2 linked regions of the Caenorhabditis elegans genome follow. The protein of the gene in region 1 purifies or fractionates together with the protein of each later gene. This does not show direct contact. Each region holds a gene or a part of one and is shown in the gene's direction. Other genes may lie near its edges.

Region 1 (7,256 bases):
GTAATTTTTTTGGAACTTTCATCGATTTTTACATAGTTTTCTGTTAATTAATGAAAAAAATCCCAAAAAGTTTGAAACTACAGTACTATTTAAAGGCGCACATCTTTTCGCATTTAACAAAAATTTGTCGTGTCGAGACCGTAGTTTTGGAGCAAAAATCGAAAAGTCGGAGAAAAAAATTTCAAAAATAGGATTTTCTTAAATTTTCAAAAAGCAAAAAAAAAATTGAATTTTGATTTTTTTTTTTTCGGAAATTAAAAAAAAAATTTTTTTCACTAAAAAATCAGTTTTTTTGTCAATTTTTCGAATTTTCTTTCAATTTTATAAATGAAAAAATCCCAAAAAGTTTGAAACTACAGTACTATTTAAAGGCGCACACCTTTTCGCATTTAACAGAAGTTTGTCGTGTCGAGACCGTAGTTTTGGAGCAAAAATCGAGAAATCCGACGAAAAATTTTAAAAGTAGGAATTTTTTAAAAACGAATTTGTAAGTTTTAGAACTATGAATTTTTTCTAAAAAATTTAATTAAACACCTAAAAAAAAATTTTTTTTTCGATGTTTTTTTTCTGAATTTTCCGAATTTTCTATTCATTTTTCCGTTCTAAAAACCTTTAAATCATGTAATTTCCAAATCAAAAAATCATTTCCATTTGCACTTTTCTTCTTGAAACCCTTTTCCACAATAACACCAATCGTGCACCATGCTTCTTTGAAATTTGACGTTGGTTTCAGATTTGATAGCTTTTCAAGCTTCATTCCAGCAGTAAATGCTCCAAAACTTGTCGCCGAAATTTTCGGATTCCGAATCGATATTTGAAATTTGTCGAATCTCACAATTCCGACGGTTACTGTGTCGGTGGATGGTTTCGTGAGCCCGGTGAGCACTGATTTCTGAAAAAAAATTTTTTTTTGGTTTTGGCGTTATTTTTTTTTTGATAAATTGTAGTTGTAATTGTTATGATTTTAAAAAATCCAAAAAAATTAAAAAATTTTGGGTTTTTCCAGATTTTTCTTCGACTTTCCACCATACTTTATTAGTTTTCCAAGCATCTGTGGCCTTTGGCCCACTCGTTGAGCTATTCTTCTCCAGATGCCGCTTTAAAAGAGCTCCTTGCTCCGTGAGCTCTCTGAAAGAAGAAAAAATTGGAGAAAATTTTGCATTTTTCGAGAAATTCGAGCTTTTCCCTACCGTTTTTTCACATAAAGCTCCTCATCATCACTATCATCATCTTCATATCGATTTTTCGAGCTAGAATCGCTGGGTTTCTCACTAGAACCTTGATTTTCGCAGGCTTCTTCCATGTTCAGAAGCCGCGGGGCTCGGTTTACAGGCTTTAGCTCCTCTTCTTCGACTCCCTCGAGCTGTGTGAGTAGGTCATCTAGGGGATCCATCTGAAAATTGAACAATTTGTGGAAAATTTCAGCGAAAATGACGGAAAATGAGAGAAAATCTGGGGAAAATCGGTGAAAAATAAATAAATAAATTTAATTTTTAAATTTTCAATTCCCGCTACCTGGAGACACTGGAAAAGTAGTCCCGGAGAAGTAGAAATTCCAGAAAAATAGGCGTGGTTTTGATTTTTTGCTGTGAATTTCACATTTAATTGATTTATAGATCAAAATCAATTTTTTCTGCACATTTAACATTGCAATAACAAAAATTCGCTTCAAATTTTAAGCCCAATGCGGCAATTCTCTGTCCTCCAAAACACCCTCCATAGCGCCCAACTCCGCAAACACCGTCACGCAAAACTGCACACAATCAAATGTTTTCGCCGAAAAATCGGTTTTCTTTTTTTCTCTCATTTTCCGCGCATAATCCCAACTTTTATTTGATTTTCGACAATTTTCCATCACCGAATGACTCAATTTTTCGCAAAAATTACGAAATTTCACTCATTTTCAGCCAAAAAATGCCGAAACGCGCCGTTTCTTTCGCCGACGACATCGAAACGAGAGTTTTTAAGCGGGATAAACGAGAAATTGAAGATGGAATATTGGATATTCCAATGGAAGAAGATGTGGTGAAGGAGAGACCAGGAAATGCGGATGTAAGTGGCTTTTTTTGCGAAAAAACCCGGGAAAAATCGAAAAAAATCGATATTTTTCAAAAAAAAATCGAAAAAATTTATTTTTTTGATATTTTTCCAGGAAGACGAAGAGGAAAAAAAGAAATTCCACACATTAGAGTCAGATGAAGAAGAAGAAGAGGATCACAAACGTCTAGATACCCGAAGAGTTGAAGGTCAAGAGGATTGTGGTGTGGATTTTGATGGATCTATTAAAATTACGGCTTTCAATATGAAAGAGGACGAGGAAGAGGGTCATTTCGATGAAACTGGAAACTTTATTTTCGATAAAAAGACAAAAGATGTTCAAGACGCGTGGTTGGATGGTATTGATTGGAGTTTAGTGAAGAAAAAGGCCGGAGATCAGTGGGAGGGCGATGAGGACAAGGTTCGACACGGGAAATGGAGGAAAAATCGAAGAAAAAATCTGATTTTTACGCGGAAATTGCCGAAAAATCGATTTAAACCTGAATTTTTCATTTTTAAATTTGAAAAATACGGTTTTACGCACTAAAATCGGAGGAAAATCGATCTCAGCCTGGATTTTGCGCCCTAAAATTGATAAAAGCTGGAAAAATCGATTTAAAAATAGTTTTTCTGGTTAAAAATTGAAAAAACCGAATTTTTGCACTGAAAATGGCTGGAAAATCGATTTTTACCTGACTTTTTTGCTTTAAAACTGACTGAAAACAACGGATTTTTGAGCTGAATTGGCGGAAAAATCGGTTTAAAAGTCGATTAAAAAACAAAATTTCCGAAAAAAAAAACAGGATTTTTGCATTAAAAATGGCTGGAAAATCGATTTTCACTTGTATTGTTCAAAAAAATCCTGAATGCTTGAAATTCAGAGAAATATTGCAAAATTTCGCGGAAAACTTGATAAAATCCTCCAAATTGACGAGAATTCTCGGAAAATGTAGCAGAATTTTAAAAATCCGAAGAAAATTCCAAATTTTTCACGATTTTTCGATTAAAAAAGTTTCAAAATGTGTCAGGGGTGGGCGGCATACGATTTTTTCCGGCAAATCGGCAAATTGCGGGAATCGAAAACTTCCGGCAAATTGTCGGAAATAAAAATTTCTGGCAAATTGGCAATTTGGCGGAAATAAAAATTTCTGGCAAATTGCCGGAATTGCCGGAATTGAAAACCCGGCAAATTGGCAATTTGGCGGAAATAAAAATTTCCGGCAAATCGGCAAACTGTCGGAAATAAAAATTTCCGGCAAATTGCCGGAATTGAAAACCCGGGAAATTGGCAATTTGGCGGAAAAAAAATTTCTGGCAAATTGCCGGAATTGCCGGAATTGAAAACCCGGCAAATTGGCAATTTGGCGGAAAAAAAAATTTCTGGCAAATTGCCGGAATTGCCGGAATTGAAAACCCGGCAAATTGGCAATTTGGCGGAAAAAAAAAATTTCTGGCAAATTGCCGGAATTGCCGGAATTGAAAACCCGGGATATTGGCAATTTGGCGGAAAAAAAATTTCCGGCAAATCGGCAAACTGTCGGAAATAAAAATTTCCGGCAAATTGGCAGATTGTCGGAATAAAAATTTCCTGCAAATTGGCTAATTGGCGGAAATAAAAATTTCTGGCAAATTGCCGGAATTGCCGGAATTGAAAACCTGGGAAATTGGTAAATTGGCGGAAATAAAATTTCTGGCAAATTGCCGGATTTGCCGGAATTGAAAACCCGGTAAATTGGCAATTTGGCGGAAATAAAAATTTCCGGTAAACCGACAATTGCCGCCCACCCCCCTGATTTCAATATAAAAATTCCTCAAAATTTCCAGAAATCCTTGGAAGACGAAGAGCCGGAGCCAATTACAATGAGTGATGCACGAAAAAAAGAAATTTTCGAGCAACTTGTCAACCTCCTGAAACCCAATCAAACAGTGGCTAAAGCTCTTTCAGAGCTCAAAAAGAAGAAAGGATTAAGTGCTGCTGAAGAACGGAAACTTCGTTGGGCCGCCAAAAAAGCCGGAAAATCATTTGAGCCAACTGATGGGCAGAAGGAAACTTCACAGCTCTCTGGGCTCGCTGATGAACTCATTTCTGCTGGAATTGTTCGTTTTTCACAGCTTAAAGTTCCAGAAAATTCATGCTACGCTCAATTTTTTGAAACGAAATTCATAAAAAACCCGCGCGAATGTCGAAAAAATTGCCAATTTTTAGCCAAAAATCGAAAAAAATTCAATTTTTGCAAGATTTAGACCGGTTTTAATTTAATTCGTTTGTGAAAAATGCGATTTTTTCACAAAATTCGCGCTGAAAAAAACTGGCAGAGTGCAGATTTGCCGAAATTATTCAAATCCGGCAAAGTGCCGTTTTGCCGGAAATGTTCATTTTTGGGAAATTGCAGATTTGCCCAAATTATTCAAATCCGGCAAAGTGCAGATTTGCCGGAAATGTTAATTTTTGGGAAATTGCAGATTTGCCCAAATTATTCAAATCCGGCAAAGTGCAGATTTGCCGAATATATTCAAATCCGGCAAATTGCCGGTTTGCCGAAAATATTACAATCCGGCAAACTGCAGATTTGCCGAAAATATTCAAATCCGGCAATTTACCGATTTGCCGAAAATATTACAATCCGGCAAATTGGCGATTTGCCGAAAATATTTTTCTTTAACCCGAAAATTTAGATTATTTTTCTTTTAGATCAATTTCTTCCGGTGTTTTGATGAAAAATGACAATTTTCAGCTAAAATCTGAAAAAATTCGGATTTTTCCAATTTAAAATACTTTTTTTTTTCAGTGAAAAACGTAAAAATAGCGCGCATTTTCATTGCGAAAACCTATATTTTTTCACAAAATTTTGGTGAAAAACATCAAAAATAGCGAAAAATGAGCATTTTTGTTAAAAAAGTTAAAAAATTTCGATAAAAAATATGAAAAATTCCAAATTTTGGCCAAAAAACTCAAAAAAAAAATCAGAATTTTAATTCCAGATGGACGCCTACGAATGGCATCGTGAGAAATTCAATTTCCAATTGCAAAAAATGATAAGTACAGCCGCTGATGAGTTGGATATGTTCTCTGATGAGCCAACTTCAACTGGAGCAGCAAGAGCAGCAGGAGCTCCAATGGAGCAAGAAGAAGAAGAAGCAGATGATAGTGTTAAATGGGAATATAAGGCTAATGAAGAGGCGAAAATTGAGGTAGAATAGTGGGAAATTCTACGACAAATTTGATATTTGAAAAGAAAATACTGGAAAAAATCCCAATTTTTACTGATTTCAGAGGAAAAAAAATAATTTTTTCAGTGAAACAAACTAGAATTAGCCAATTTTCTGCAATTTTGAGCAAGAAAATTGCAGAAAATATGGAAAAATCTACACATTTTCATATTTTTAAAGTAAGAAAATTACCAAAAAAAAAAAAAAAAAAAGTAAAAAAAAGAATTTTTTTGAATAAAAATCGGATAAACTTGGTTTTTGAACTTAAACATATTTATTCGGAAAATTCTCGAAAATTTTCAATTTTATTGCATTTTTAGAAGAAAAACATTAAAAATTATCTGAAAATTCACAATTCAGTCAAGACAAAGTCAAAATGCCTGAATTTTTGGTAATTTTGAGTTGAAAAATTGTTGAAAAATTGTCGGAAATTCTCGATTTTATACCGAAAAATCCTAATTTTTCAGCGAAAAAACGGACGATTTTGGCGAAATTCGTGTTAACAAAATAGTTTTTTTTTTTTTAAATGAAGAATTGATTTTTTTAAACCAATTTTTTGGGATATAATCAGAATAGCCTATTTTTAGCAAAAACTTTGAACATTTCCATGAAAATTTGGTGAAAAATGTCAAAAATAGCCAATTTTTATCCAGAAATCGAAAAAATTCAATTTTTGTTAGGTTTAGACCCGTTTTAATCGAAATAGTTTTTTCTTATTAAAATTCACGCTGAAAAATCCGGCAAATCGCCGGTTTGCCGAAAATGTGTTCGAAAAATAAATTAAAATATGTCAAAAAAATTTCAAAAATTTTTTTTTGAAAATTCTGAAATTTTTTTTAATGAAAAAAAGTCTCAAAAAAAGTAAAAATTTTTTCCAATTCCAGGGCCCGATTCCGACTTCAGAAATGATGGATCGCCAATCAAAAGGACTTCTTTCGGCAGAAGGTGTTGCCAGACGTTCTGGAACAAATGGACATTTTAATCCAGTTGCCAGAATTGATTTCGAGCTTTATTTGTAAAAACTCTCCTAAAAAACCTCTCCTCCTCCTCCCCTGAATTTTAGCAATTATATGATTCATATTTCATTTTTTTTTGTTTCATTTTCATTTTTTCCCCCATTTTTTTTTGTTTCTCTGAATCTCGTTTTCACTCTCTATCTCTCTCTCATCACTTAGAACACACATTCATTTCTCTCACTTTTTCCGCCTGAAAACAGCTGAAAAAAAGTCGGAAAAATGATTCGGTGCCGAAAACTTTTCAAATACCGAAAACTCGCTATTCAACATGATATTTATCACAGTTCCGATGACATTTCTCGAGGTTTTTTCAATTTTTTTTTGTAAATTAAATTTTTTTTTTCCCGTTTTTTTTTTGCCCTTTTTGGTCCTAAAATTGCATTTTTTTTCAAGTTTTTAACTTGAAAATTCATTTTTTTGGCCTATTTTCGCCCCTAAAACTGCACTGTATTATATAAAATCCCCAATTTTTTCCTTTTTTAAAAAAGCTTTTTTTTTTAAGATTTTACGGTTCCAAAAGCCGCTAAGTTTCTGCTGAATTTTCTGGGAAATTTCTAGATTTTACATTAAAAAACAAATTTTTTTTAAAATTCTAAATTTTAAACTTCGCTAAATTTCTAAATTTTGGTGTAAAAAATTAGAAGACAAATTTTTTTTTAACCGGTCATTTTCCGAAAATGAAACCTCTGGTAATTTGCCGGTTTGAATATTTCCGGCAAATCGATAAATTGCCGGATTTTAATATTTCCGGCAAATCGATAAATTGCCGGATTTTAGTATTTCCGGCAAATCTACAGTTTGCCGGTTTGAATATTTTCGGCAAATCTGCAACTTGCCGGATTTGAATATTTCCGGCAAATCGATAAATTGCCGGATTTTAATATTTCCGGCAAATCTGCAATTTGCCGGATTTGAATATTTCCGGCAAATCGGTAAATTGCCGGAAAATCCAGTTTTTTGCCGGAATTGAAAATATTTTTTAAAAAATTTTCA
Region 2 (4,733 bases), about 10 Mb from region 1:
GTACAAAAAACCACCCGAAAATCCCCCAATTTCACATAATTCTTGTCAAATTTCACACATTTTCAGTGCCTTTAAGCCCCGTTTTTTTGCTATAAAATTGCAACATTTTTCCTGTAATTTATTGGATTTTTGTGTTATTTTTTCTCTCGTTTTCAGCGATTTTCAGCATATCTTCATCGATTTTTTGCAGATTTTCAGCTATTTTTTTATCGATTTTTTTGGGAGATTTTTGTCATTTTTCACCTAATTTTATTGATTTTCAGCCTAATTTTGTGTGTGCTTTTACCCATTTTTCTATTATTTCCATCATTTTCCCCGAAATTTTATAGATTCTACCTATTTTTCAGCAAAATCTCATTTTTCAGCGATTTTTCATCATTTAAGCTATTTTTTATCGATTTTCACCGAATTTTCAGCTATTTTATCAGAAAAATCTCAGTTTTTTCCGGCAAATTCACTCAAATTTCGCCTATTTTAGCGAGGAGCTCTTTTTTCCAGCATTTTCACCGAATTTTCTTTTTTTTTCGTAAAAAAATCACCAAATTTCCTCATTTCCAACCTATTTTCTCCATTTTTTCGCGGTTTTTCCCGAATTTTAAACAATTTTTCGCCAAAAAACCCCAAATTTCTTCATTTCCAACCTTTTTATTCCATATTTTCGCCATTTTCTCGGGATTTTCAGCTATTTTTTCCAGAAAAACTCCTATTTTTTCGGCAAATTCACTCAAATACCGTTTATTTTCTCACAATTTATCGTTTTGGAGCTATTTTTCCAGCATTTTCACCGAATTTTAAGCAATTTTTTAAAAAATCACCAAATTTCCTCATTTTCGTCCAATTTTCTCCATTTTTTCGCGATTTTGAGCAATTTTTTCCAGAAAAACTCCAAATTTTCTCACTTTCACCCTATTTTTTTCCATATTTTCGCCATTTTGTCGGGTTTTTCAGCTATTTTTTCAGAAAAACCTCCATTTTTTCGCGATTTCCACCGAATTTTCAACGATTTTTCCAAAAAATCGCCAAATTTCCTCATTTTCGCCCAATTGTCTCCATTTTTCCGCGGTTTTCCCCTGATTTTCGGCTATTTTTTTTTTCAGAGAAACTCATTTTTTCGCGATTTCCACCGAATTTTCAGCTATTTTTCCATTAAAAAAACCCATTTTTTCGTGAATTTCTCCGAATTTTCGGTTTTTTTTTTCAGAAAATTCGGAAAAATTGGAATTTTTCACTGAAAACTCTGAAAAATTCAATAAAAATTGGATATTTTTACTAAAAACTCGGGAAAATTCGTGAAAATTGCCGTTTTTCACGTGAAAATTCGAGAAAAATTGAAAAATGTGGAATTAGTATCCAAAAATGCTCTCGGAGCCCAAAATTCAGGAAAATCCTGAAAAAATTAACCAATTTTACTCAGAAAACTGCAAAATTTTTTTTTCAGTTTTTCTCGCAAAAATGTGCTAAACTCTCAGATTAAAATTCAATTTTCCGTGGCAAATGTGCTCTATCGGTGATTTTGGTGTGAAAATTCCAAACTTTTGCATTAGAAATTACAAAATTTTGGAATTTTCCACCCGAAATTGCTCACAGGAGCACATTTGACCACTTTCCCGGGGAACCTCTGCCCAAATTTTCAAATTTTTCCATCCATTTTCTCCGGATTTTCAGCTCTATTTTTTAAAGAAAATTCCCAATTTTCCAGATGAGTGATCACCAGGATGGCATGAAACTTGAAGATATTGAACGCCAATTTTTGGACGTTGCTCAACGTGAAGGAGGTCTCGAAGCGATTCAGCCGACCACTGGACCACTGGAAAATGAAGAAAATCTGAAATCATCGACTGGTGGTGGTGGTGGAGAGGATGATAATGATCGGAAAAAGAGAAAACGATCGAGAAGTAGAGATCGCGATACGAGAAGACGCTCGAGAAGGTGCTTAAGCTGGAAAAAATTGCATTTTTTGACGGAATATTCGAGAATTTTCGTGGAAAACTCGGCGAAAATCGAGTTTTCCGCTAGAAAATTGACCCAAAATCGGATTTTTAGGAGGAAATTTTGTTTTTTTTTGGCCAGAATTACGCTGAAAATCGCTTTTTGCATGAAAAACGGCTTAAAAATGACTTCAAACCCAGAAAATCAACATTTTTAGAGCAAAAATTCGAGGATTTTCGTCGAAAACTCTGCGAAAATCGAGTTTTCCGCTAGAAAATGGTCTAAATTTGAAGAAAATTGACCCAAAATCGGATTTTCAGAGCGAAATTTGATGATTTTCCATGAAAAACACTACCGAAAATCCCATTTTTCCTGCCAAAAAACTCTTTAAAAAATCGATTTTTGCTTGAAGAAATCCACCAAAATTTTCATTTTCTTTGCCAAAAATCTATGAAAAATCGATTTTTTCACAGGAAAAGCGGAAAAGATGCAATTTTAGCTGAAAATCCACCGAAAATTCGCATTTTTTACTTTGAAAAATCGCAAAAAATCGATTTTTCCTTCCAAAAACCTCCAAAAAATTGCAATTTTAGCTGAATTTCCACGGAAAAGTCAAATTTTCTGTCCAAAAGTTTGCAAAAATTCGATTTTCAGTTGGAAAATTGCGTTTTTTGGTCAAATTCCACCGAAAATTCCCATTTTTTAACCTAAAAAGTTGTAAAATATCGATTTTTCCTGCCGAAAACCCCGAAATTTTCAGTCGTGGAAGCGAGAAATCGCAATTTTAGCTAAATTTCCCACGAAAATTCCCATTTTTTTAACCTAAAAAGTAACGATAAAATCCATTTTCCTGTTCAAAAACTCGCCAAAAATAGATTTTTTAATTAAATTCCACCAAAAAAATTCGCATTTTTCCGCCCAAAAACCTCCAAAAAGTCCCAATTTTAGCTGAATTTCCATTGAAAAGTCTAATTTTCTGTCCAAAAAACCGCAAAAAATCGATTTTCCAGTGGAAAATTGCGTTCTTTGGTCAAATTTTACCTAAAAATTTTGAATTTTTACAATAAAAAGTGGCGGTTTTTACTCAAATTGTACTGAAAAACGCAATAAGAATGGTTTTTCTGTCCAAAAATTTGCGAAAAATCCATCTTTCCGCCCAAAAACCTTCAAAAAATCGCAATTTTAGCTGAGTTTCCACGGAAAAGTCAAATTTTCTGTCCAAAAGTTGGCGAAAAATCGAATTTCCAGTGGAAAATTGCGAAAATTTACATTTTTAACTTAAAAAATCGATTTTTCCTTCCAAAAACCTGCGCGAATCTGACAAAAATTGCAATTTTTCTGCATGAAAACTCATTTTTCTAGCCAAAAAAGTGCGCAAAAATCGATTTTTCCCCTGGAAAATTGCGATTTTAGCTGAAAATCACTGAAAATCCGCATTTTTTAACCTAAAAAATCGCAAAAAATCGATTTTTCCCGCCAAAAACCTGCGAAGCTGCCAAAAATTGCAATTTTTCTGCATGAAAACTCATTTTTCTAGCCAAAAAATCGCGAGAAAATCGATTTTTCCCGCCAAAAACCTGCGAAACTGCCAAAAATTGCAATTTTTCTGCATGAAAACTCATTTTTCTAGCCAAAAAATCGCGAAAAAATCGATTTTTCCCGCCAAAAACCTGCGAAACTGCCAAAAATTGCAATTTTTCTAGCCAAAAAATTGCAAAAAAAATCGATTTTTACACTGGAAAATTGCGATTTTAGCTGAAAGTCACTGAAAATCCGCATTTTTTAACCTAAAAAATCGCAAAAAAATCGATTTTTCCCGGCAAAAAACCCCAAAAACCCCCCATTTTCAGTCGTGATCGTGGAGAACGTCGTGGTGGTGGAGGTGGAGGTGATCGTGATCGTTCTCGATCCCGTGAACGTCGTCGAGGCGGTGGTGGTCGTGATGAGCCGAGACGTCGTGGAGGTGATGATGAAGCCCGTTCGCGCCGTGAGCCGGAGCCCCAGAAGCCTCGTGAGCCCAAAAAGTACCGATTCTGGGATGTTCCGCCGACTGGATTCGAGACAACTACACCGATGGAGTACAAGAATATGCAGGCGGCTGGACAGGTTCCACGTGGATCTGTACAGTCTGCAGTGCCCGTTGTTGGTACGGAAAAATGGAATTTTTCGCCTGACAATTCGGAAAAATTCGAGAAAATTGGCGGTTTTTGCCTGAAAATTCGGAAAAATTCGAGAAAATTGGCAGTTTTCACTGAAAATTCGGAAAAATTCGAGAAAATTGGCAGTTTTCACTGAAAATTCGGAAAAATTCGAGAAAATTGGCAGTTTTCACTGAAAATTCGGAAAAATTCGAGAAAATTGGCAGTTTTCACTGAAAATTCGGAAAAATTCGAGAAAATTGGCAGTTTTTGCCTGAAAATTCGGAAAAATTCGAGAAAATTGGCAGTTTTCACTGAAAATTCGGAAAAATTCGAGAAAATTGGCAGTTTTCACTGAAAATTCGAGAAAATTCGATTTTTTCACTGAAAATTCGGAAAAATTCGAATTTTTCATCGAAAATTCGGAAAAATTCGAATTTTTCATCGAAAATTCAATAAAAATTGGATATTTTTACTAAAAACTCGGGAAAATTCGTGAAAATTGCCGTTTTTCACGTGAAAATTCGGGAAAATTTGAATTTTTCACTGAAAAATCGGAAAAATTGGATTTTTTACTGAAAATTCGGAAAAATTGGATTTTTTCACTGAAAACTCTGAAAAATTCAATAAAAATTGGATATTTTTACTAAAAACTCGGGAAAATTC

Evidence for each region. Proteins that work in one complex are often made in the same cells at the same time.
Region 2: the proteins of teg-1 (region 1) and uaf-1 purify together in Caenorhabditis elegans (affinity purification with western blotting; one study listed by BioGRID). This does not show direct contact.

Annotation. Positions count from the first base shown.
Region 1 is NC_003281.10:11,311,707-11,318,962, reverse strand, and holds teg-1 (GYF domain-containing protein), read left to right. Parts: upstream 1-1,907; 5' UTR 1,908-1,914; coding exon 1,915-2,052; intron 2,053-2,152; coding exon 2,153-2,458; intron 2,459-3,861; coding exon 3,862-4,134; intron 4,135-5,019; coding exon 5,020-5,229; intron 5,230-6,131; coding exon 6,132-6,266; 3' UTR 6,267-6,734; downstream 6,735-7,256. Other genes in the region: mcm-10 (Protein MCM10 homolog), read right to left, coding at 611-892, 1,032-1,128, 1,191-1,393.
Region 2 is NC_003281.10:1,073,522-1,078,254, reverse strand, and holds the start of uaf-1 (Splicing factor U2AF 65 kDa subunit), read left to right. Parts: upstream 1-1,699; coding exon 1,700-1,929; intron 1,930-3,779; coding exon 3,780-4,075; intron 4,076-4,733. UniProt on the Caenorhabditis elegans protein: Necessary for the splicing of pre-mRNA. Binds to the polypyrimidine tract of introns early during spliceosome assembly.